2 linked regions of the Tribolium castaneum genome follow. The protein of the gene in region 1 interacts with the protein of each later gene in a pairwise test. Links are inferred from orthologs where the notes say so. Each region holds a gene or a part of one and is shown on either strand. Other genes may lie near its edges.

Region 1 (10,958 bases):
CTGCGCATTGGCGCGTTATTAAAAACGCGGACACGTGTTTATAACCTACAAATGTCTTTATGATTTTTTACAATATTTCCAACAATTTGGTCCAACATTTCAGTTAATTGTGATTTTAAATATAAATTTAATTTAATTTGACGTGACAGTATATCAGTTCCATTTAATTTGTTTCTTGAATTGTGAAGTGAGGTTATTTATGTGAATATTGTGAATGAGTTTGGACCCTATATTGAAAATGCGGCATTTAGAACTGGAATCTGAAGAACCCAAACCAAATTGTACTCCAGTAGAAGATTCTGATACTTGCGACAATGCAGAAATTCAAAACTTATTCAAGCAATGTAAACCTCTGCTTGAGAAACCGATTGCACTGGACCAACATTACATTCTGCAAATTGCGGGGACCTTGTAAACTTAATTTCCCGTATTCAAGATGTGCAAATTAATTTGAATATTTCAGGGAAACTAACCCAAACGTTGCTGTAAATTTGTCAAACAATACGTGCGAAGTGTACAGTTTGAGCAACAACCAAATAGATAAATTAGCAGTTTTGGGTGAACACAGTGACGTAATTAGTGAAGTTAAGTTTAGTAGTGAAAATAGTAACTTGCTTTATACAGGGTCATGTGATGGAACTGTAAGGCTTTGGGATATTCGGGCACCAAAACGAAGCTCTCTTCAATTTAAAGGTGAGTTTTGACCTTCAAGTTGCCTCAATTGCCTTTTTTTTCACGCATAGACACAACTGTTGAAGATGGAACAATTAAATCATTTAATTGTTTCGATATTTCGCCAAATAATAAATTGCTAGCGGCAGGCACGAATTTGTTTGAAGGCGATTCTTTCATTTTGTTCTGGGATGTTAGGAAAAATTCGCTTTTGGGGGGCTATTGGGAATCACATACTGACGATATCACGCAGGTACTTCACTTTTCGTTTCATGTTTTAATTTTTTATAATTAATTACATTATTATTTAGCTCAAATTTCACTCAGATGATTCGAACAAATTGATATCGGGGTCAGTAGATGGTTTGATAAATTTGTACGATCTCTCCGAAAACAATGAGGAGGATGCGTTGATTGATTCGTTAAATACTGAATCATCAATTGAAAAACTGGCCTGGTTTCAACAAGGAAGAAACGATATCATAAGCTGTGTAACTCACACAGCTGACGTACAATTTTGGAAAGTAGAAGACTCCCAGCCCTATTTTCATTTACACAGAACTGAAATTGCTAAAGAAATTAAAGTAAATAATTGTGATTGAAATAATTTAAAATGCAAATAACAAACATTTTTAGAGGAAATCGGAAGAACATGTGTACATTGTGGACGTACATGGTGGTGCTAATAGTATGTTGGTATTGGCGGGATCTAATTACTGCGACGGAGAATGTTTTAGAGGATTAACGGTAGTTGGCAATGCTGTAAAACCAGCTCTGGGATTCCCCGCAAATAAGCAGCGAGTTCGTTCCAGCTGGTCCAATTTGAATGTAAGTTTTTTGACAGTGGTTTTGTTCCGTTTTGATTTTGGATTTTAGATAAATTTGTTGTTGACTGGTGGAGAAAAGGGAATTCTAAATGTGTGGGATGTCACCACTGTAAAGTGTGAAAGAGGGTGATTTTTCTGAACGAAAAGAATAAAAGTAAGTTGAGCATTTTTGAACATTTAATTTCTACCAATATCCCTTTTCTTACAATTAAGAATATATAAATTAATTTATTCTATGCTACCTTTATAATGCTGAGAATGACAGTGACAAAAGCCATTAGTTAAATAAAATGACACAATGTTATTAAAACGTTTCCAAAAAAAAATTAAACTAAAAATAATGGCAACACACAAATGTTGGTAACAAAACAAATGTTATTGTAAAACGAAAAACATCTCACAATCCAAAAATATATAAAATGTATAAAATAAAGATCTAAATATAAAAACTCCTAAACTCTATAGAGATCTTCAGCTAACTTAATCAAAATACAAACTTCTTTTAAATAGACATTCCAGTATATTCAGCCAAAAAAAAAAAAAGAAAATGAGGGTCAGAATAAGTAAATACGAACTAGAATTTTGGGTGCGACGATGCGAAAATAACTTATTTTGAGGCCAAAAACATGATTAACCTGAAAATTAGCAATAGAAACATGAATTTTTACGACGCAATACAGTACCTGAAATTAATTGTTTTTGCTGCTAGTAAACGATTACATTCAGCTGTGTCTGGTAGGGGAAAGTGTTCGTAGGGAGTTTCGGTTTCTTGTTCTGTGAAATCGAAATTGTAGACTCGAGGATTTATCTTCACATCTCCGACAGGACCTCGTAAGACGATGTAACTCAAACTCAAGGGGGTAGATGTTTTTGATTTCAGGATTAACTAAAAAAAAAAACAAAATAAAATAAGTAAACTTCGAGAATTCGAGGTTAAACATGAAGTAGACATAAAATCAGACACAAGAGTTAGAACACATTTTGTAAAAAAAAAAGATAAAATGTCTTTTAAAAAACATTTTTTTAAATATTATTTATTTGCTTTTAAGTTTTTACTTATTCTAATTGTGTTTGTCTTTAGTTGCAGTTTCACTACGTTGTAACACCATTACTTTGCTAATTTGTGAATTTGTTGTGGTATGTGGTAGAAAACAAATGTTAGCATTTGACAGCATGTCCTAACTTCTGTTCTGTTTGTCATCAAAGATAAAAAAATTAGCGACATTTCTTTATAACAAAACGTAATGAACATGATTAAATATTAATATATTTCTCCAAGTGAGTTAGCAGTGTGCTTTTTAGCTTAACCCTTTTTAATCTAAAACTTTAAAACCCCATCTTTAGGGGGTAATTAACTATAGTAGAATTGCATTGTCACGAAGATTACGTAAGTATGCGAAATTTCAATTCATTCGAACAAAAACCTTCTAAAAATTTGGCTCGGAAAATATGAAACAGGCAGACAGACAACAAAGCACGTTAAGTAACGTCGCATTTTACCAAATTATTTTTTTTAAAAGAAGATTTAAATAATTGTAAAATAGTTATTAATGATTAGATCTCTGATGAAAAGTGTAAATTATATTAGGTATTACTTTTTTAAAGTGCACTAATTATTTATAATAGCTAATTTTAAGAGAAAATGCGACGTTGGCGTTTTTATAGCTTTGGAACATCTAATACACCTATTTTATGCAAAAAAAGATTAAACACGCGAGTAAAAAGGTCAAAATTTTGTTTTTTTCCAAATAAATCATTTTTAAAATTCTTCTAGGATATCTGTAATGAATAAAGACTAGACTTGGGAAAACATGCCTTTTGGATTCTATTTATTTTAAAATCATGATTTTGTCATCTTTTTCAATTTTTTAAACACAAAAAGTTTTTTTAAATCTTTTAAAGAGGTAATCAGTTTCTGACTCTTGGGTCTAGCTATGAAGACGTATTCCGATTTCGACCAATATCTATGACTTTTTGGGTCTCTGAAAAACTAAACCTCAAAAGTAGTAGTTAATAGGAAAAAGGGAGATAAATATCAATGAAATGCATATTTAAACAAAAATAATAAATGCATACTTACATAATAATTGCTGCTAAAGCAATCCTAACAGTTTCTTTGTATTACCAAATTTTATTAATATACTAGCACTTATCGGAGGGGTTGTAAAAAATATATATTTTTTATTTTGGATTTAGAAGCTTTAATAATGCGAACAAATGTTTTAATATTTTTTTGTTTGTTTTTATCAAGTATTTGATATAGGACCTTAAGACTTATTTTCCTATTATAAAGTCCTATTTTATACTTTCACTGTCTTTTGTTATCATATGTAAAGGTCCTAAAATCCAGTCTTTAGTGGTGAATGATAAAAAAATGAATTATTTTAAAGCTGTAGAAAGATAATTTTTTTGTTAAATTACGACTGTTTCAAATTAGATCTGGTGGAAATATATTATTATTTACATACATATTTTATCTTAATCAAGACTTTCTGATTAAATCGCGCCAAAACAAATAAAATGATACTCATAATAATAAATTTTCAGTACCTGATAAGTCATATCTCGTTCTGAGCTTTGTGTGGGGTCCTTCTGATTATCACTAATTTTAGCTTTGACTACCCACTGATTATTGAAGGCCGAAAATCGCGATGATTCATAAAATAATCGATGGACAAAATCGTCGGTACGATACGGCTTCAACTGAATATCTGCAATAAAAATCCATCAATACAACAATGGACATCAGTTTTTGAATTGTACCGTTAAAAGTAATTTTATCGTAACCCAACAACTCAAATATCGTCTTGTATAGTTTTCTTTCTTCAATCAGCTGCTGATCGAGTATTTCCAAAGCCTCCATAACTTCCGCCCCAGACTTATGCGGATGTCCGCATTCTTTTTCATGTTGCGCCCTTTCATGCACTGGTCCTCTCCACGGACACCCGATCCTGTGGTACTTGCAACCTGAAATTCTGCACAGAAAAACACTCGTTATCGTCCCCGAATGAGACGAGACGCTAGAAGAAATGAGCGTGCAACGTATGACAACCGCATCGTGTCAATAACTGATATAAACACAGAATTCATTCATTTGTATCTTGTGTCTATATTTTTTCTATCGTTTTATTTGTTTTGGGATACAGTTGCCGGTTGTTATATTTTGCGCACTTGAAAGCGTCTAGCGCCTGCACTAAAAGTTGTGTTAGAAATAAACCTGTCCTCGCATTCCTCGTCTTCGTGCTTTTCCAAGGAATTCCTCGGAAACTGCTTGTTGCAGAACTGACATTCGGAGGGTAGTTCCGAGACGGCGTTTTCAACAGCCAAATTTCTCGTCGCCAATGTCTTGCAGATTTCCACGCGGCAAGTGGGACATGTTGACGTTTCGTCACGCAAACGGGCATCGGCGAGGATGTGCGTGAAACATCCGGCACACATCAAGTGACCATTGCTGCACTGCAATACACGCACATAAAATATACTGTAATGGCTTCGAAACGTCTCATCCTTCAAAAAAAGTTTTTTGTGTGAAATTGTTCGAAATGTTTTGTTCCCACCCCACAGACATTAATTAAGCTTTGGAGACACTTACCAATCCTCTTCATATCCTGGAACTAACATAAATTTTATCAATAAGGCTGTATGTACTCAACGAATATACTCGCCACCGCTCTAACTCAAATTTTTACCCTCTGCCAACTGACCACATTGAGTGAGAGCGGCGGTGCGCCAGGGCCGGATCCAAAACCCCCAATACGCTTCACCAACTACACTTTGGTTTCATTTAACAACACTTCTACTTGTTTCTTATAATCTCACGGCAGCCTTTTCGAAACTAGTTGAAATCACTTAAATATATAATTCAATTTTGTAAATTTAGTCACATCAGTAAAAAACCAAGTTACCAAATTTTCTTTTGAGTTATTCGTTGTAAAAAATATTGTACTTAACTTATTTGTAAATAAATTTTGCAAATTAGCAATTGAAAGCAAACAAACACAATAGGTAAATATTTTTTTTTATTACTTATTCTGCATAAAATCAAAAATGTTTAATGGTCGGTGGAAATTAAAGCTGATTATGTTTATCAAGGGTTATTATGTTGGCGGAATAATTTAGGTTTGTTGGACAAATCTATTATGCTGATAACGACTTGGACCTAAAATCTACAAATTTATTTCTTGGCAATAATTAATAATTGAGAAACGTTTTGTAGAACAAATTGGACCAGTTACGATTTTAATAACTGAACCTCTAAAAATTTAAACTTATTGCATTGTGAGGAAAATATTTCAGATTTCTGAAAGGGCAGTAATTCTTTCATTCAAAAAAATTTACGTTTTATGGTGGATTATCCAGGCTCACATTTCACCCCCTGATGAAAATTCTGGATCCGCCCCTGGTGGTGCTACTTTATTTTACCATTACGTTACCTTCTCTACCATTGTTCAAATAGCATTGATTGAACTTTTTAAGTGGCGTGACCGCTTATGGTTAACTTTAACTTTTCAAGTTAAATCGTATGGAAAATGTGTTTTCCAAAGAGTATTAACTTAGGGTTAAATGTTAATCGAAAGTGGTGCCATTTCGTGACTTGTAAAAATTACTAGTAACCCAGCCTTGGTCGTCGCTACCTACCTCTCTTATTTCGTGGTTAAATAAAAATCTTGTGCTCTTTTCGAAACCAACAAAGAAATGGGACAGGATGGGGAAAATAAATACTATATCTAAATATGAATAATGACTAAAATATAAATTTAATAATACATTTATTTGCAACGTCGAACCAAAAATCATCGTTGTTATAAAATAGAAGAACTCGTTAAAGTAGTTATCAATTATCACATCCAGAGTCTTATTATTTAAGTATCACAGTTACAAAAAATGACTATTCTACATTGTAACAATGAAAAAAGTACAATAGTATTTAATTACAAACTGAGGATGACGCAGACAAATGTGGTAAAACAAAAAGAGTAGATGAGATAAACCCATGGTTTGGCACACAATAATTGGTAAAAATTGTGCGCAAAACCACGATAAAGCATAATGGAGGTCGAGCGGAGACCCCGAGCCTCGGCCCTTGAACGCGTTTAAATATAGCCGCAGTGTCCTGAAAATCAATACAGGAGCGCAGCGGAACGGGACAAAGACGTAGTGTTACGTAATCTAGGGAAATCTGCAGGAGGCAAAGGCACTTACCTGGTAAACGGCGGCTTTGGGCAGGTCTAGGCAAACTGCGCAGCAGAGAATTCCTCCCAGCCTCTCCTCGAGCCTGTACTTCTTTTCGTCCTGCTGTATGGCGGCGGTTTTGCGACGTTTCGCCTCCGGCTCGAGCAGGTCTTCAGTGATCTTCTCCGGCTCCGTGGAGTCCGTGGTGGACGTCGTCGCCTCAGCTTCCGACATTGTGGTGAATGCGTTCCAAGTTAAACACACAACAGCTGACTTCCTGTCTACCTCTACACCTCGCACATAACCAGAAAACAGCTGACGTGACGCCTCAGTTTGACATGCCCTCCCCACCACGGAATGCCCCAGCTCGGGGTCTGATTGGCCGGCTGGGGTGTGACGTACGCGGTGTGGAGGGGATGACAGTCAGCTGCTGGTTTGGACAACAAAGAATGGTGGGCTCAGGTGAATCAGCTGATGGTCTAGAGCCGACCAAAACATTAGAAACCTTGCGTTGGGTTGTTTATGGTAATACGCATGGTGTTTACGTTTTACTTAATGGTCGGCGGAGATTAAAGCTGATTATGTTTATCTCGGGTTATTATGTTGACGGAATAATTTAGGTTTATTGGACAAAAATCTATTTTGATGCTGATAACGACTTGGACCAGGAAGTCTGTGCAAATTTTTCTAATGTATGCGTAATGATTAATAAATATGTATGACCCGATTTCTTGTTTGAATACAGAGAAACCTTTGTCACAATAAAATAAGTCGCAATTTCTATGTTGGGAATTTGTGTAAGAATACGTTTTTGGACCGGCGAAAAAATAAATATTTACTTCAGTCTGTTGCTTTGATTAATTAAAGCACTAATTTTTTTATGTAACACCATGTGCAGACAGAGTCTGTCAAGTTTTGGGATATACAAAAGAATGAAAAGACCTCTCTTTATTATGTGGTTTACCCATCTTAAAACCTACAAATTTGAATTATAAATGTGAAAACTACCTTATTCTTTATGAATAACACACAGGTTTTTTGTTGAAAACAGGTTAAAATTTGTCGAATAGAGCGGTGTACGTTTATAACGAAAAATATATCAAAATATTGTAAGTTCGTTATATCCAGTGGCGCAGCCAGAGATAGAGTTTATGGAGGGTTTAAAAACTAACAACGAGTAATAACCACACGGAAATGAGAAATGAGCGTTTGCTATTAAATATGTTGCTCTGTTTACATTTGAAAAGCTTTATCTTCCTTTCCTGCCTTATTTTATAGGTGGTGATTGTTTTTTATTTTTTTTTGCCAATCGGCTTAAAATATACCTAGTTAAGGAAAGAACAACAAAATAAGACTTTTCACATTTTAGTATTTTTTGTGTAGGTAAAAATTTTTTTTTAATTTTTTTCTTTATTACCAAAAAAAAATAAAGGAGTGCACCATCAAAAACAGTACCTAAGCAATAGAAAATGTCGATTTTCACAAAAAAGTTACGTCATTACTCAAAAATCATTAATATATATCATTAATAATAACTGTTCTACATTTTTACCAACCTTATTCAAAAAAGAATTATTAGGTAAAATGCGACTTTGGCAGAGTACTTATATCCGGAAATTTGTTAAAATAAGCGGGTTCGTTATAACCGAATTCTACTGTATCTGAAGGAAGTGGTAATTTGAAATTACCATTTCCAGATAGTACAGAATACAGAAACATTTTTTATAAAGTAATTTTTACTGAAATTATTAAAAATAATAAATAATAATAAAAATAATAAAGGAAGAATGATGTTACATTTTTATCTTTTTTTTCTTTACATTTATTTCTTGGGGTACCGAGATTATTTTTTTATATTTAAAAAAGTGGAAGATCAAACTGTTTTATTGATTATAAGGTAGGTAGGTAATAGCAGTTTTAGTTTTGTTACTTTCCTCCATTTGGTATTGAGATTAATGAATGTTTGACCACAAGGCTTAACCGGCAGATGTTTCACAGAAATGAACATTTGTTTGATGCTTTGCCAAATTCTCTTCATAATAGACGAAAATAACACGGTAAGTACACAATTAGGCCACAACACAATGGTTTCTGGGTTTAAAACTGTCTACATTCCAAAAGATACTAACTACTCGTACATATTATAAAAATGTTTTTGAGGCGAAATAATAAAAAAATACAATAACTAAATAAATAAAAAATGCAATTAAGTACTATTTTCATGTTGTTGGTAAAACATCGAGTCAGAGTTATCCAAAAATGTGGAAAGGATATCTCTTAAAAAATTGGATGCTATTTATAAGAATAAACGAAACGGAATTTTCACATTTTAAACTCTATTTCCAAAATTTTTGTGATGTTTAAAAAACCATTACACCTACCTTATTTAAAATGAAGAAGATAAAGACGGTGTTTACTTCTGTTTCAGTAACAAAAATTAATTCAGGGTTAATATACAAATAAAATTTAAGAACACTGGTACGCTAGATTTTTCTTTTTGTTTCTCAGGTATTCAGTTTAGATAGAAAATATATCGCAAATCAATTTTTTATGTTGCTTTTTTGTTGCAAAAATTAACACGCATTTATAAAAAATAAAAAATTAAGGTACATTTATTTTAGTAGAAAACAATACAGAGTACAGGGTGTTTCACATAATTTTACGAGGCCTGCGCATATAAAATGCCACCGACAATACATATTCCGATAAGAACTCGATTACAAATGTTAAAAAATTGGATAGCCTTCTCTAATTTATTCACTCCTTCAGTAAATTACAACATTTTTAGTTAGTGATTAAGATAAATAGACTCATATTCATGTCGTCTCTTGACAGAACACATGTTAATTGTTTGTGAATAACTGCAATTTATGAGTATTAATGAAACAGTCATTTTATTTGTCTGACAACCACTGTCATGGGTTTTCAAAAATTAAATAATTATTTAATGGTGTTTTTGTATCTAGTGTTTAGAGACTTTTGTATATTTGGGTGCGTACATTAGGAGCAGACCTTGTAAAGTTATGTGAAACACGTTGTAGATAAGTATTTTCAAAATTACGAGTAAATCCAATATGCGCTGTTTTTATTTGTGTTTGTAGGTTTACGTTTTTTATCAAGCAACTCAATGAAATCCAAAGATTTGGGATAACAGAATACTCGCGCCTGTTTCTTCATCTTTTTACTCATTAAAAATAATGCAGAAAATAGTAGCATTTTATCAAAAATAGCTATTTTCTACTTATTACTTTTCAGAGATCAGAAAATTAGGTAAAAGTTATGATAATAATATATTTCTGGATCTAATTAAATTTTAACCGTACTTTAACCGTATTTTTGTAAAATTTATTGCTAATGGCATAAAAAACTGGGAGTAATGGTTGTATTTTGTATGCTTGATAGTATTTAAAATACTCAACATCTACCTCCACAAATTATAGGCGTATTCAGTTCATAGAAAATCTCTCAATTTTCATTAGATTTTTGGTGTAAAACAGTGGCACAGCGAGTTGAGGGTTGGGAGTTGAAACCTCCCCTAGAATAATAAGCAAAATGATTTTAATAGTAGTAATAAAACAAAAATTACATTTTCGAGGCATTTGACTTTTTCTGCTTCCGAGAATTCCGAGAAAACCAACCCACAAAAATCATATTTTTGTAATTTTTGAGAAAATCTTCGAGGAAGTTTTTTATAAAATAAATGCTGCATATTTTATAAAAAATTCCATGGTAGGAATTGATTTTTTTTAATTGCTTACTGTTTTTAATAGAACACTCTTTAATCTTTCGGGTAATAATAATAAAATAAATATTACATAAAACAAAAAATATCTGAAAAGCTTTATCTTGTAGTTCTTCTTTTATGTTCTAAAGCTATTATTTTGCAAATATTTTTTACAATAATGAGCATAGAAAGACTTAAGCAAAAATAGTGCAGGAAATAGATAAAGATTTTTGTGTAAAATTTTTCATAATTTTTAAGTTATACAACAAATAAACTTAAACTTGAGACAATTTTTTACATTATTGCCCAGAACAAAACTCAGAAAAAAATCAGCAACATATTTATTAATTTTAAGTATTAAGAATTGTAGAAGAACTCTAAAAAAATCATATGTATACATATACTCTCGTTTCTGTATGGTTATTAGTTTCTATAGTAAAAATGTACTTTTACGTAGGTAAATCCCCCATAAACCCTATCTCTGGCTGTAAAATGTATGTAATTGTGTTTGTAAAAATGTTAGGGATTTAAGTAGGATAACGTGTTCAGTTGGAATCTTCGAC
Region 2 (10,707 bases), on another chromosome or scaffold:
GAAGAGTGTACCTAATACTTAATACTTAAACTTTAAAAACCGCCTAAGCAAATTTGAAAAACTCGAGTTTTTTATCAGTCAACGAAACCAGAAAACTACCATTTTGATTCTGGAACCCTTTCAGATCGAAAACACTTTCGTGCGCCGTCACGGAGCAAACCTTTTGCCCCGTATTGATGCTCCACAAGAACACACTCTTGCAATTTTCCTGGTGGGCAGCAACGTAATCACTCGTATGCGACAAAAAACACGACTTTGATAGCAACTTCTGCATGCCGCCCCCTTGAAACGTGTGCAGAATATTGCAGTCAATTTTCCCCTCATTCCTCGCCAAGGTACTTAAAGTATGCCTCGCGTACGTAATTCGACTATTGGGCCTAGAAGACACTAACAATTGCTTTGTGTTTGTTTGGTATTTCATTGAAACGAATGGTCCCTCTAAGGAAATCGGGTGTCTCTTGTACTCCCCATTCGCGTTCTCGTACAGCCAGAGCGAGTTCAACTTGCAGGACACGACGCCCCCTTGCGCCAGGGCTTCGCCCGGGGCTGCCGGGATCGACGCGACTGAAACCACCGGAGACATGTCCCCTTCTATGGAAAAGGTACAAACGGCCTCGGTTAATTGCCGAATGTCGTATTTTATAACCGACCCAGCTTGCGTCCCTACGTATAGCTCGTATGGGTTGTTTTCGTCCCAACAGCATGACCAGAGGGGCATTTGATGGGTGAATTGGTGGACAACCGAATTCTCGTGGTTGTTTATGACCTTAAAGGTCTTGTCCATGGACGCTGTAAGCACCCAGTTCTGTTCCTTGTGGAAACAAATGTCTCTAATTTGCAACGTATGGACTGGAATGAACGCGATTGTTCTGTACCCCGAAATGTTTATTTTTTTCAAGCCGAACCCGGCGAACAAATTCGTGGGCGACTTCATCGAAGCCATGAGCAGGTCCAGCTCGCAGCGCGCGTCAAAAACCCGGCTTCCGCCGAATTTGCAAATCTCCATCGCCTTGTCCATGTACAGCTTGACGCGCTCCACCATGGGCTGGTTGAAAGTAGGAACATTGTTCTGCCTCAGTTGCGTCTTGAGCTGGGCGATCTCCTGCCTCAGCAACTGCTCGCGGTAGGCGCACGTGGCCAACTCAGTCTGGAACTTGTTGCGCTGTTCGGTCACCGAGTCCAGCTGTTTTTTGATATTGTCCAGTTCAGTTGTATCAATTGCTGTTAGTTTTTTGGCGTAAATGTAGCGAATGTCGTGGCGGCGCGCCTTCTCCTTGCAGGTCGGGCACGTTTTGCGCGAGTTCTGGTTCAGCCACCGGGTGATGCACTGCTCACCGAACAGGTGCCCGCACTTGAGGGCGCATATCCGATGGGGGCCCGTGTTCGTCCACTCGTCCAGGCAAATGGGGCACACGGAGCCGTCCTCCTCGCGCTCCTCGTCCTCGAAGGTGCGCTTTCGCGACTGGTTGCTCTCCTCGTCGAAGGTCTGGGGGGTGCTCGCCACTGACTCGGTGGGGGACAGTCTTTCGATTTCGTTGGCTTGTGGCACTAGGGGGAACCCCACGTCGTTGTAGGTGGCGGGGGGCTCGTTATTATCTACGTTTATTGCTACTAATGCTAAGGGGTGGATCTCCTCCACGCGCGGGGAGATTATCTGCAAGGGGTAGTCCTCAGAGCCTTCAACTTCCATCTCATTTTCTGAAACGGTTGACTTGTGTGATAATTCGCACGGAATAACGAGTTTATGGTTACCTCCGTGGTTGTAGTCATCCAAGTTCATTACTTTTTGGGTTTTTTTTCAAATAAATTTACAACCTAACCTCAAAAAACTATCCTGTCAATGTCAAATGGCGACGTCAAACTCAAGGACGTTTCAACGTCAACGACCTTCACGTCCTTGCATAAGATTTTTACGCAAAAATAACCACACGGAAATGTTTTTGCGGATTTTTCGTAACCACTAAGTGAAAAATAACTCATCTGATAACTGATAAAAATAAAAAATACAAATAATTCACGATTATGAACTTCCTCCCTGCTGGCAGTCAAATAAGCCTTTAAATCGAAAAGTTGGAAAAAACTTGCGTTTTTTATATTACTGTGGAGTCACAAAGGTTGTTCCAACTCCCGAGAAGGGGTCAAAAAGACTTTTTAGTAAAAATTTACAAAAACCTAACATTGGACAAATTTTGCGATTACATCCCGTATCTTCTTTCTGGATAAAGCTAGAAATTTATTTTTTTTGTAAAAGATTCCACCGTAAATAATGCAGTTTTACGTATTTACACAAGGTTGACTTTTGATAAAAAGAAACTAAAAATTACATTTTCTTGTAACGTCCTGTGTAATGAATTTTTCGATATGAAATGAAGTTAATAACTTAAATAAGTTTTTCATGTAAGAATCATTTCAATATCTGGAACACTCACAGTTATTACAATATAAAATTACCGCAAAATCTGCTCGAGGTGAAATCGCAGCATATTTCTAAAAATGATAAATTAACAAATTACTTTTAATCTAAGGTTACCAACCGTCCTGATTTAGCCAGGACGGGTTTAGGTTTTTACACTTATGTCCTGTTATATATGTTTTAAGTTGCCACCAAAAACACAGAATGTATCTACCTGATTTTTTTTTTCGAATAAAAACTACCGAAAATCTTCGTTTTTTCGAAAAATTTCTAAAACATGTTAATTAGATAAAAAAATTAAGATAACGGGAAAAACCATACATTTTCCGCCAATTTTTCTTCTTTTTTGGTCGAAAATAAGCCCAGATTTCCTAGGAATTCTTGCTTATAAAAGACTAGAAACCCTTAATTTTTGGTGTAATTTGAATAGGTTTTCATAAAAATTTTGCAAAAAAAGCTAAAGATGTTCGCAGCGATGCCAAAATACTAACAAAAAACAACCTTTTTTTCAAGTGTTATGACAAGATTTTACAGTATATGTATATTATTTTAACCGCCCTAACTTTCTGTTAATATTAATATCAAAAACAGTCAAGTGAACATTTTTATGCAAAATTTTCGGCTTTACAATTTTTGTTTAAAACTTTTTTTTCTAGCTTTCAGCGATTTTGAATAATCTGTAAAAAACGCTTTAATTTCGTTTCTTCAACTAAAAAATTCTTTGTCTAAACGTTTTTAACTGCTCCATGTAACTTATATAAAAAAAGCGAGCTTTTGAACATTTCGATTTACAGGCTTATTTGACTGGACCATTGAAATTATTCAATGACTGGACTAATAATAGGTGATTGTAATTGAATTTAAATCTATTTTGAAATAGTACCGAAGGAGTCTCGACCTTTCGTGGTGCTACTTATGTAAATCTGTTGCATAATCAGTGCATAAATTAAGAGTTAATGCGCAACTTTTATTTTCATGGAGTATTTGAGTTTCAAATGGACGTGGATTGTCTTAGGGTTGTAACTCACCTCAGTGCCTGTATATTCAAGATTAAAATTTTATTTTAACAGTATTCAATCGCCGATTTACAAATAAAAACAGTAACTAATTGGAAAGTGGTTATACAAAGCATTTCATTCAATTACCATACTTGAAGTGCTAAAAAACTAATCTGGTGGTTTTCACTAGCAAGAATAAACCGTAATTAATTGAAAGACTTTGTACTCGAAAGAACTAACGATAAGCATCAGTAACATCAATAAATTTCAAACACCAATATTGACAAAAGTTGAAATTAGTTCGCAAGAGCCAAAACAAGACTTTCGTATAGTGATTACTGAGACATAAGGTAAATGCAAACAATCCTTTTATTCATCTTGTACACCTTCAAAATAATTTAAGTCAGTAATCTATTGGGTAGAAAATGAAACTGCGTTTCATAACCAACTGTTGGAAAAGTGTAGAGAGAATATAGTAAAATGGCGGATTAAAATAGTTCACTAACTAAATAACTGTTCAGTTGCTCTTTCTATATCCCAGTTATACGACGACAAAGCGACCCGCGCCTGGTGCTCCTCCACTCCCATATCAACTAGCCTTTTTATTTTATCGTCACATTCTTTATTTACATGGGGACCTGCAAACAGAGCGTCACGCCGTCCTAATTGCAAACTGCATAAATTACCGCCTGCGTAAACATTTGTCCAATGTCTGGCCGTCATTTGAAACATTTCTATATTTTCCTTAAACTGCTTCGCCACCACGGCGTCCTGTGGGTCATCGGGCTCCGCAGCTGAGAGCAGCGCTTGGAGCGACAACAACACCGTCCTCAGCGTCATAGCTGCAGCCCTAGAATTTCATTTAATAACAAATACTACCACGTAATAGAAAGCACCATTGGTCCTTTAAAATGTCTAAGCAGATAGCGCCCGTTACTGATGATATATTCGGGTGCCATATCTTCGTAATGAACCTGACCTGTTACAAAACTCTTAGTCTTTTTTTTCCTGGTTATGTTGAAACGTACCTTGGGTGGATTGAAGGGGTATGTTTCAGGTACTTTAATCTCTAATACGAAGGTGCCCCCTTCGTAGGCCGTGTCCGGGGGGCCCGTGATCTCGCCTTTGAGCTCTGTATAACTATCATTTAAGAGTTCCACTTTGATGGCACATTTTGCTACCTAAATTTCAAACAAGCACGATCGTATTAGCCAAGTTTGTTGATTGTTACGAAATGACGTTGGAGTGATAACCCCTTCGCTTTGAATTTATGGCAGGGGGCATTTTTCAGTAATCAATATTTTACGTTGTGTACTGACAATTTCAAGTGTGAAAATTCGAAATGTCCGAGGAAACCGAGAACGGTAAGTGGCGTTTAGGAGTTAGAATGACATAACAGAAAAACAGTGTTTGCGAAGTTCCTACCTCTTCACTTTTAATAACCTCTTTAAACTCTCGTCGTATCCTTTGTGCTGCTATGTTAGCCATTCTGGTGGGGAAGTTCCTAAATGCAGTAAAACATAACAGATAAACCGTGGCTCTAAAAAATAGCGATTTGTTGACAAAAGTAAAAAATACACTGGCTAAAGATCGATTTTCACACTTTTAATTTCTCACTGAAGTTAGGCAAATTATGAAATGCTAAATGAAGAAATGTCACTTGTTTTCAATAGCATTATAGCCAACTTTACGGAATTTACGCGCGCGCCAAATCGGCCGAAATCTCGCAAATATTCGGGGATTTTCCCTCGGACTGCTGCAACGATGACGTAAGGGCCCCCCCGCGCGATTTCTGTTGACAATTTCGGCGATATTTTCGACGGAAATCTTCGATAAGCAGGGAGTATTTCGTCACAAGGTTTATCATTCTGGAGCGTTGTTTGCCGATAACATTAGACCCCGCTTCTGATTGGCTGCGCGTTTTGCAGTTATGCCCGTTTCCCAGCCCGTACGTGCTAAAAGCTTGTTGCGGGCAAAGTTGGAAAAGTCTTCGTTGATCCTCCAGAGCAGAATGCCGAACATTAAAGTCTTCAGCGGGACCTCGCACCCCGACCTGGCCCAGAGGATCGTGGACCGGCTGGGGATCGACTTGGGCAAAGTGGTTACGAAGAAATTCAGCAACTTGGAAACATGGTGAGTGGGCTTTGGAAATTATTTGCTTATTGACTTGGCTTAAATTGCGACTTATTATTATTATTTTATTTTAGCGTGGAAATTGGGGAGTCCGTCCGTGGGGAAGACGTGTACATCGTGCAGTCGGGCAGCGGGGAAGTTAACGACAACCTGATGGAACTCCTCATCATGATAAATGCGTGCAAAATTGCGTCCGCGAGCAGAGTCACTGCAGTCATTCCATGCTTCCCGTACGCTCGGCAAGACAAGAAGGACAAGGTGAGTGCACAATTGCTCCAATTGTGTACCTGCACATGTGTAGATAACCTAGACGCCACGTGACTTTGTATACATCTGCAAGCGGGTTTGTGGAGACCGTAGTTTTGGTTTTTAGGACAATTAGGGTTGTGGTTTTTCCTATTGACCTGACAAATTAGTCAAGCATCTGGTTTAATAATTGGACAAGTTCAATCCGACCACGTAGTTTATTAATTTGAAACAATTTGTTTACCGTTAGGTCGGCAAAAGGAGCACGTGGTTGAGAGGGCGCCACTGCCGCGACTTAAGTATTTCAAACATGTTTGCTTTGCTTAAGAAATATATGATTTATGATGTGTTAAATAGTCATAAAGGCTTTTTACTAGAATATTAGCAAAGGCATAATAAATGTAACTGCACTATTAAAAGTGATTTTGCTATATCCATTTAACAAAGACAGTCTTTAATTTGTTACTTTTTATTACTACAATTATTGTGTACTTTTAGATTTTATTGATGTTTTTCTTGACACAAAAGTGGAAAAATAAGTCTATTTCTTATCATAATAAATACTAAGTGATTGTGTGATTAAGGTTTGCCAGTATTTAAATATCAAATTCAAAATTTTATACAAATAATATACACTTCCATGCCTAGCCATCACCTGAAACAAATTAGAAGAATGACCAATAGCTCAATAATGCCAATAGATTTTTTGTCAACATGTACTCATTTGAATGTATGCGTTTTTTTCTTATGTAGTTGGTAATCTAGAGGCAAAAACGTGGTCTAATTAAATATTACCGTTCGAAATTTGATTAACTGACTCTTCAGTTTTATTAATTATAATAATCAGCCTTGCCATACAAGAAAAGAAGCCATAAAAACTTACTCTAATTATAAATTCAAATGATTGATTGGTACTATGTATTATAATAACAAGATAAAAAAAACTAGTGGGGAGTCTACAGTTGAAGAGCAGATTTCGAGAAAAATTATTAAATTTTTTTTAATTACTGAAATAATGATTTCAAAACGTGTCTAAATTACATTACGTGTTACTTTTCCTTCAAAAGACCAAATTTTTCTTTAACAAACTATTTTTCATGTGCATCATTCTACTGCTCTACCCAACCGCCTTTATCTTGAATTGTCACAGGACTAAGCAAACGAATTTAGAGAAATCATACGTTTACAAAAAAATTTACAATACACTTGATCACGATTTTTTTAATATCTTTATCTCTTTCAGTAATTTTTTGAAATAATAAGAGTTCCAGGTAAATGGAATTCTTTGCTTGTGGCAGTTTTCAAGTGCAATTTTAAGTAACATTAAAATATTATCATTTTAATTCGGGGTGTTCTTAGTGCAGGTCCCAACTGGCCTGCCCTAATTGTTTTCCCCCTCAAATATTTGTTTATTACAATTTATTGAGTAATTTGAACAAAAATATTTTATTGGTTCCTTATCTGTGTAGCAAAACCACTTTTGCTTTCAATGACGTCTAAGCGAGGAACTAGCCACAGTTCTCTTAATTAATTAAGATTCTGTATATCTATTACTAATTAGCATAACTTAAAAATAGTTGAAATGGTCGGAAATACGTCAATAAGTTCGGGTTCATGTGTGTTTATAAACTGATAATAGTGGAATGTTTAGCAAAATGCATTGCTTTAAATAGTTTTATATTTCAAGAGTAGATCAAGTAATGTAATAATGTTGAACTACTTACACTATCGTGATAATAATTAAACTCTAATTATTATGATTCTTGACTTTTTCTAACGTGACAGAGATTGAAGTTTTTTCTAAAAAGTTGAAAGAAACTTATGTAAAGTGTATTTTTATTTATAATTGCACCTGTTTTTCGTATTCTCAATGTTTCTGTTGACAAATTTCCAATTTTTTCTCTTATGCAACGTAGTTCCCATAAATAAAATTTAATTTTAACTGAAATCATTCGATTAGAATAAAGTAGATTTACACCTTCGTACATTCACATACACACTTACCTGATACGAGATTATTTTAGCCTGCGAATAAAAATGACGTCGAACGCAACGTGGAAAAATGGAAGTCAATCGAATGGAAATTCAGGGTAAAAATTGTTAAATTTTGTGAATGTTGCAGGGGCTTATTGGGAAAGTGTCGTCTGAAAATCATGTTTTTACGCCAGAGTTAGACTAGCTTTGTACGTTGTTAATAACACTGATACAAAACACAGCGTTCATACGTCGCAATTAACAAATAATAATAAAAAAATCATAAATGGGCGCGTAATTGCGACACGCTGTATATGATTCCCGGAACTGCATGCCAGGATTACAAAACGAAGGGGAAACGTACTGTTGTGAAACAATTTTACATTGACGAAATAGTCATTATTATCGTGTAACAAACATTCAGGAGTCAGAAGTCAACTTTTGTTTATCTGTTTATTGTTGGGTAAAAATTATCATCCGAAAAATGATGTAATGATCTTGAAACCATGCGATAATAATAATAATACCGAAGACTTATTAACTAACCCGACATGTCATTTTACTAATTGAAAATTTAGCTAGATAGTGGCTTGGGAATTTTGTTTAGCTTTTAACATGTTAGGTCCCTCGCCCTCGGCCCAATGCATGCCAATTTGAACCTTTGCTCAACAGAGTCGGGCCCCAATTTCGGCCAAACTGGTCGCGAACATGCTCTCGGTGGCGGGGGCCGATCACATCATCACCATGGACTTGCACGCGTCGCAAATCCAGGGCTTCTTCGACATCCCGGTGGATAATTTGTACGCCGAACCGGCGGTGTTGAAATGGATCAAGGAGAACATTGTCGAGTGGCGGAACAGTATAATAGTGTCGCCGGACGCCGGGGGCGCCAAGAGGGTCACCTCCATCGCCGACAGACTCAACGTCGAGTTCGCCCTCATCCACAAGGAGAGGAAGAAGGCCAACGAGGTGGCCTCGATGGTGCTCGTCGGAGACGTGAAAGACAGGGTTGCTATTCTGGTCGACGATATGGCCGACACTTGCGGCACGATCTGCCACGCAGCCGAGAAGTTGACCGAAGCTGGGGCTACGAAAGTCTACGCGATTTTGACGCATGGGATTTTCTCCGGACCTGCCATAACTAGGATTAATAACGCGTGCTTTGAGGCTGTGGTTGTCACTAATACGATTCCACAAGACGGGCATATGAAGGATTGTTCGAAAATCCAGGTGAGTTGTGCGATTTGGCACAAATCACAAGTTTGATGATTGTTTGGTTTTTTAGTGCATTGATGTGTCCATGATGTTCGCTGAGGCGGTGAGGAGGACGCACAATGGCGAATCAGTATCGTACCTATTCTCGAATGTTCCTTATTAACCCATTTTTATTATTTTAAATAATAAAAGTGTTAGGTTGTACTGCAAATCCTCAGATGTAGAAGATGTTCGTTTTATTTCTTTATAACTAATTGATGATGAGATACAAATTCATATTTTTTTAAATTATAATTTAGACCTTTACAGGTGCATGCCATAATATTTACGCTAATTACAATTAGGTTCTTGCAATAAAATATTTTTTTATTATTTCGAAATGGTCTTGTAGTGTATATAATTATGGCTTATTTTTGTACAAGAAATAAAAGACACGAGCTTTCTCTATACATTTTTTTGCAAATTATTTTGTATAAAAGAACTTAAATATACACAATAAATAGATTATAAAAGCGTTTTCGATTGATACTAACCTAGTGTTTCGACTGGCCTTCTGGTAAAGGAACATCAAAAACTATAGGTAGGTTTTTTGGAATATAGTTAATATCACATGTTGAAGCGTTGATATAGATGATTTTTCCGTCCGAGAACACTCCATAACCTGGCGAAATAAAAGGAGCGGTAAAATGAGTTTCTTCTCTAGGTGGCACCTAACTGAAGAGAATTTTTACCGATGGTTTGATTTATTAATTAATGAAATTTTGTAAGAAAAAAACCTTGACAAAGTTTTATTAAAAAATCGAAACGTCGAAACACTTCCTACGACTGTTATGGAATAACAATTTTCTGGGAGGATATTCTAACACTTTAGTTTTTGACGAACGGCAAAATTTAGAAGTCTACTACAATTATCATTCACGTTCTCTGTTGTAGTTGTTTCTAACTTAAACTTATCGAGTTTTGGAAATTAGCCAGGCGCTTAATCCACCTCTACAGCAGAACAATAAACAAACATTGAACTTTCAAGTAGGTTGGAATTTAGATAAATGTTCAAATTGGTTGAAATACAGATTGAGTGTAAACTAACTTGCCTTCATGTATGTGTCCGAAAACGTGATATTTGGGTTTGACCCTTTGTTGGACCGTCGTTAACAACTCTACGCATCCAGCTCTAACCCCCGAACAGACCAAATCGCCAAACCCCAGAGGCGGCGTATGAGTTATTAAAACGTCCGTATCGTTTGGAATCAAATTCCACTTGGAAAGACACTCTTCACCCCTCTCTAAATTAAAAGCCCAGCCACCGAATTCAGGTTGCCTGTAATAATTTACACAAATTTTATTGTTTTACGTAAATTCCGTGAAATTACCAAGGAGTTCCGTACAGTTTTATGCCATAAATATCAATCCCCGAATCTTCCAAATACGTGCAATTTGTTAAATACTGCCTGATGTTATCAGTATTGACTGCATCACTGATGTTATCTTTCGTATTGCCATAATTGGGGACTTCATCTTCGAGTGATCCGGTGTGTCTTGCACTCGCCGTTTTTTTGAAATAATCAGAGAATTTTTTATCGAAACTCAATTCGTGATTGCCGCTGATTACAATCTTGTGTTTGTGGGGCAAAGATACTGGAAGTAGGCAAATAGAATGATAAATTTTCCAGCACAACCCACCTAGCCATTTATTAAACTGCATCACTTCCTCTTTCTGGCCACATTTCG

Evidence for each region.
Region 2: the proteins of zinc finger TRAF-type-containing protein 1 homolog (region 1) and Ubc4 interact in a two-hybrid assay, tested with the Drosophila melanogaster proteins (2 studies listed by BioGRID). The link is inferred for Tribolium castaneum from reciprocal best matches to the Drosophila melanogaster genes CG32486 and Ubc4.

Annotation. Positions count from the first base shown.
Region 1 is NC_087396.1:18,937,382-18,948,339, reverse strand, and holds zinc finger TRAF-type-containing protein 1 homolog, read right to left. Parts: upstream 7,258-10,958; 5' UTR 6,906-7,257; coding exon 6,702-6,905; intron 4,956-6,701; coding exon 4,717-4,955; intron 4,475-4,716; coding exon 4,263-4,474; intron 4,211-4,262; coding exon 4,050-4,210; intron 2,386-4,049; coding exon 2,183-2,385; intron 2,135-2,182; coding exon 2,107-2,134; 3' UTR 1,664-2,106; downstream 1-1,663. Other genes in the region: WD repeat-containing protein 89, read left to right, coding at 215-411, 464-693, 744-925, 984-1,256, 1,309-1,500, 1,549-1,629.
Region 2 is NC_087394.1:31,291,659-31,302,365, forward strand, and holds Ubc4 (ubiquitin-conjugating enzyme E2-22 kDa), read right to left. Parts: upstream 5,256-10,707; 5' UTR 4,900-5,255; coding exon 4,837-4,899; intron 4,776-4,836; coding exon of another isoform or gene 4,754-4,775; exon of another isoform or gene 4,622-4,753; intron 4,593-4,621; coding exon 4,440-4,592; intron 4,391-4,439; coding exon 4,308-4,390; intron 4,262-4,307; coding exon 4,098-4,261; intron 4,050-4,097; coding exon 3,913-4,049; 3' UTR 3,457-3,912; downstream 1-3,456. Other genes in the region: E3 ubiquitin-protein ligase RFWD3, read right to left, coding at 44-1,698, 1,753-1,780; Prps (ribose-phosphate pyrophosphokinase 1), read left to right, coding at 4,754-4,775, 5,340-5,544, 5,619-5,802, 7,815-7,880, 8,437-8,994, 9,050-9,142; metallophosphoesterase domain-containing protein 1, read right to left, coding at 9,513-9,640, 10,071-10,297, 10,350-10,614, 10,660-10,707. UniProt on the Drosophila melanogaster protein: Catalyzes the covalent attachment of ubiquitin to other proteins.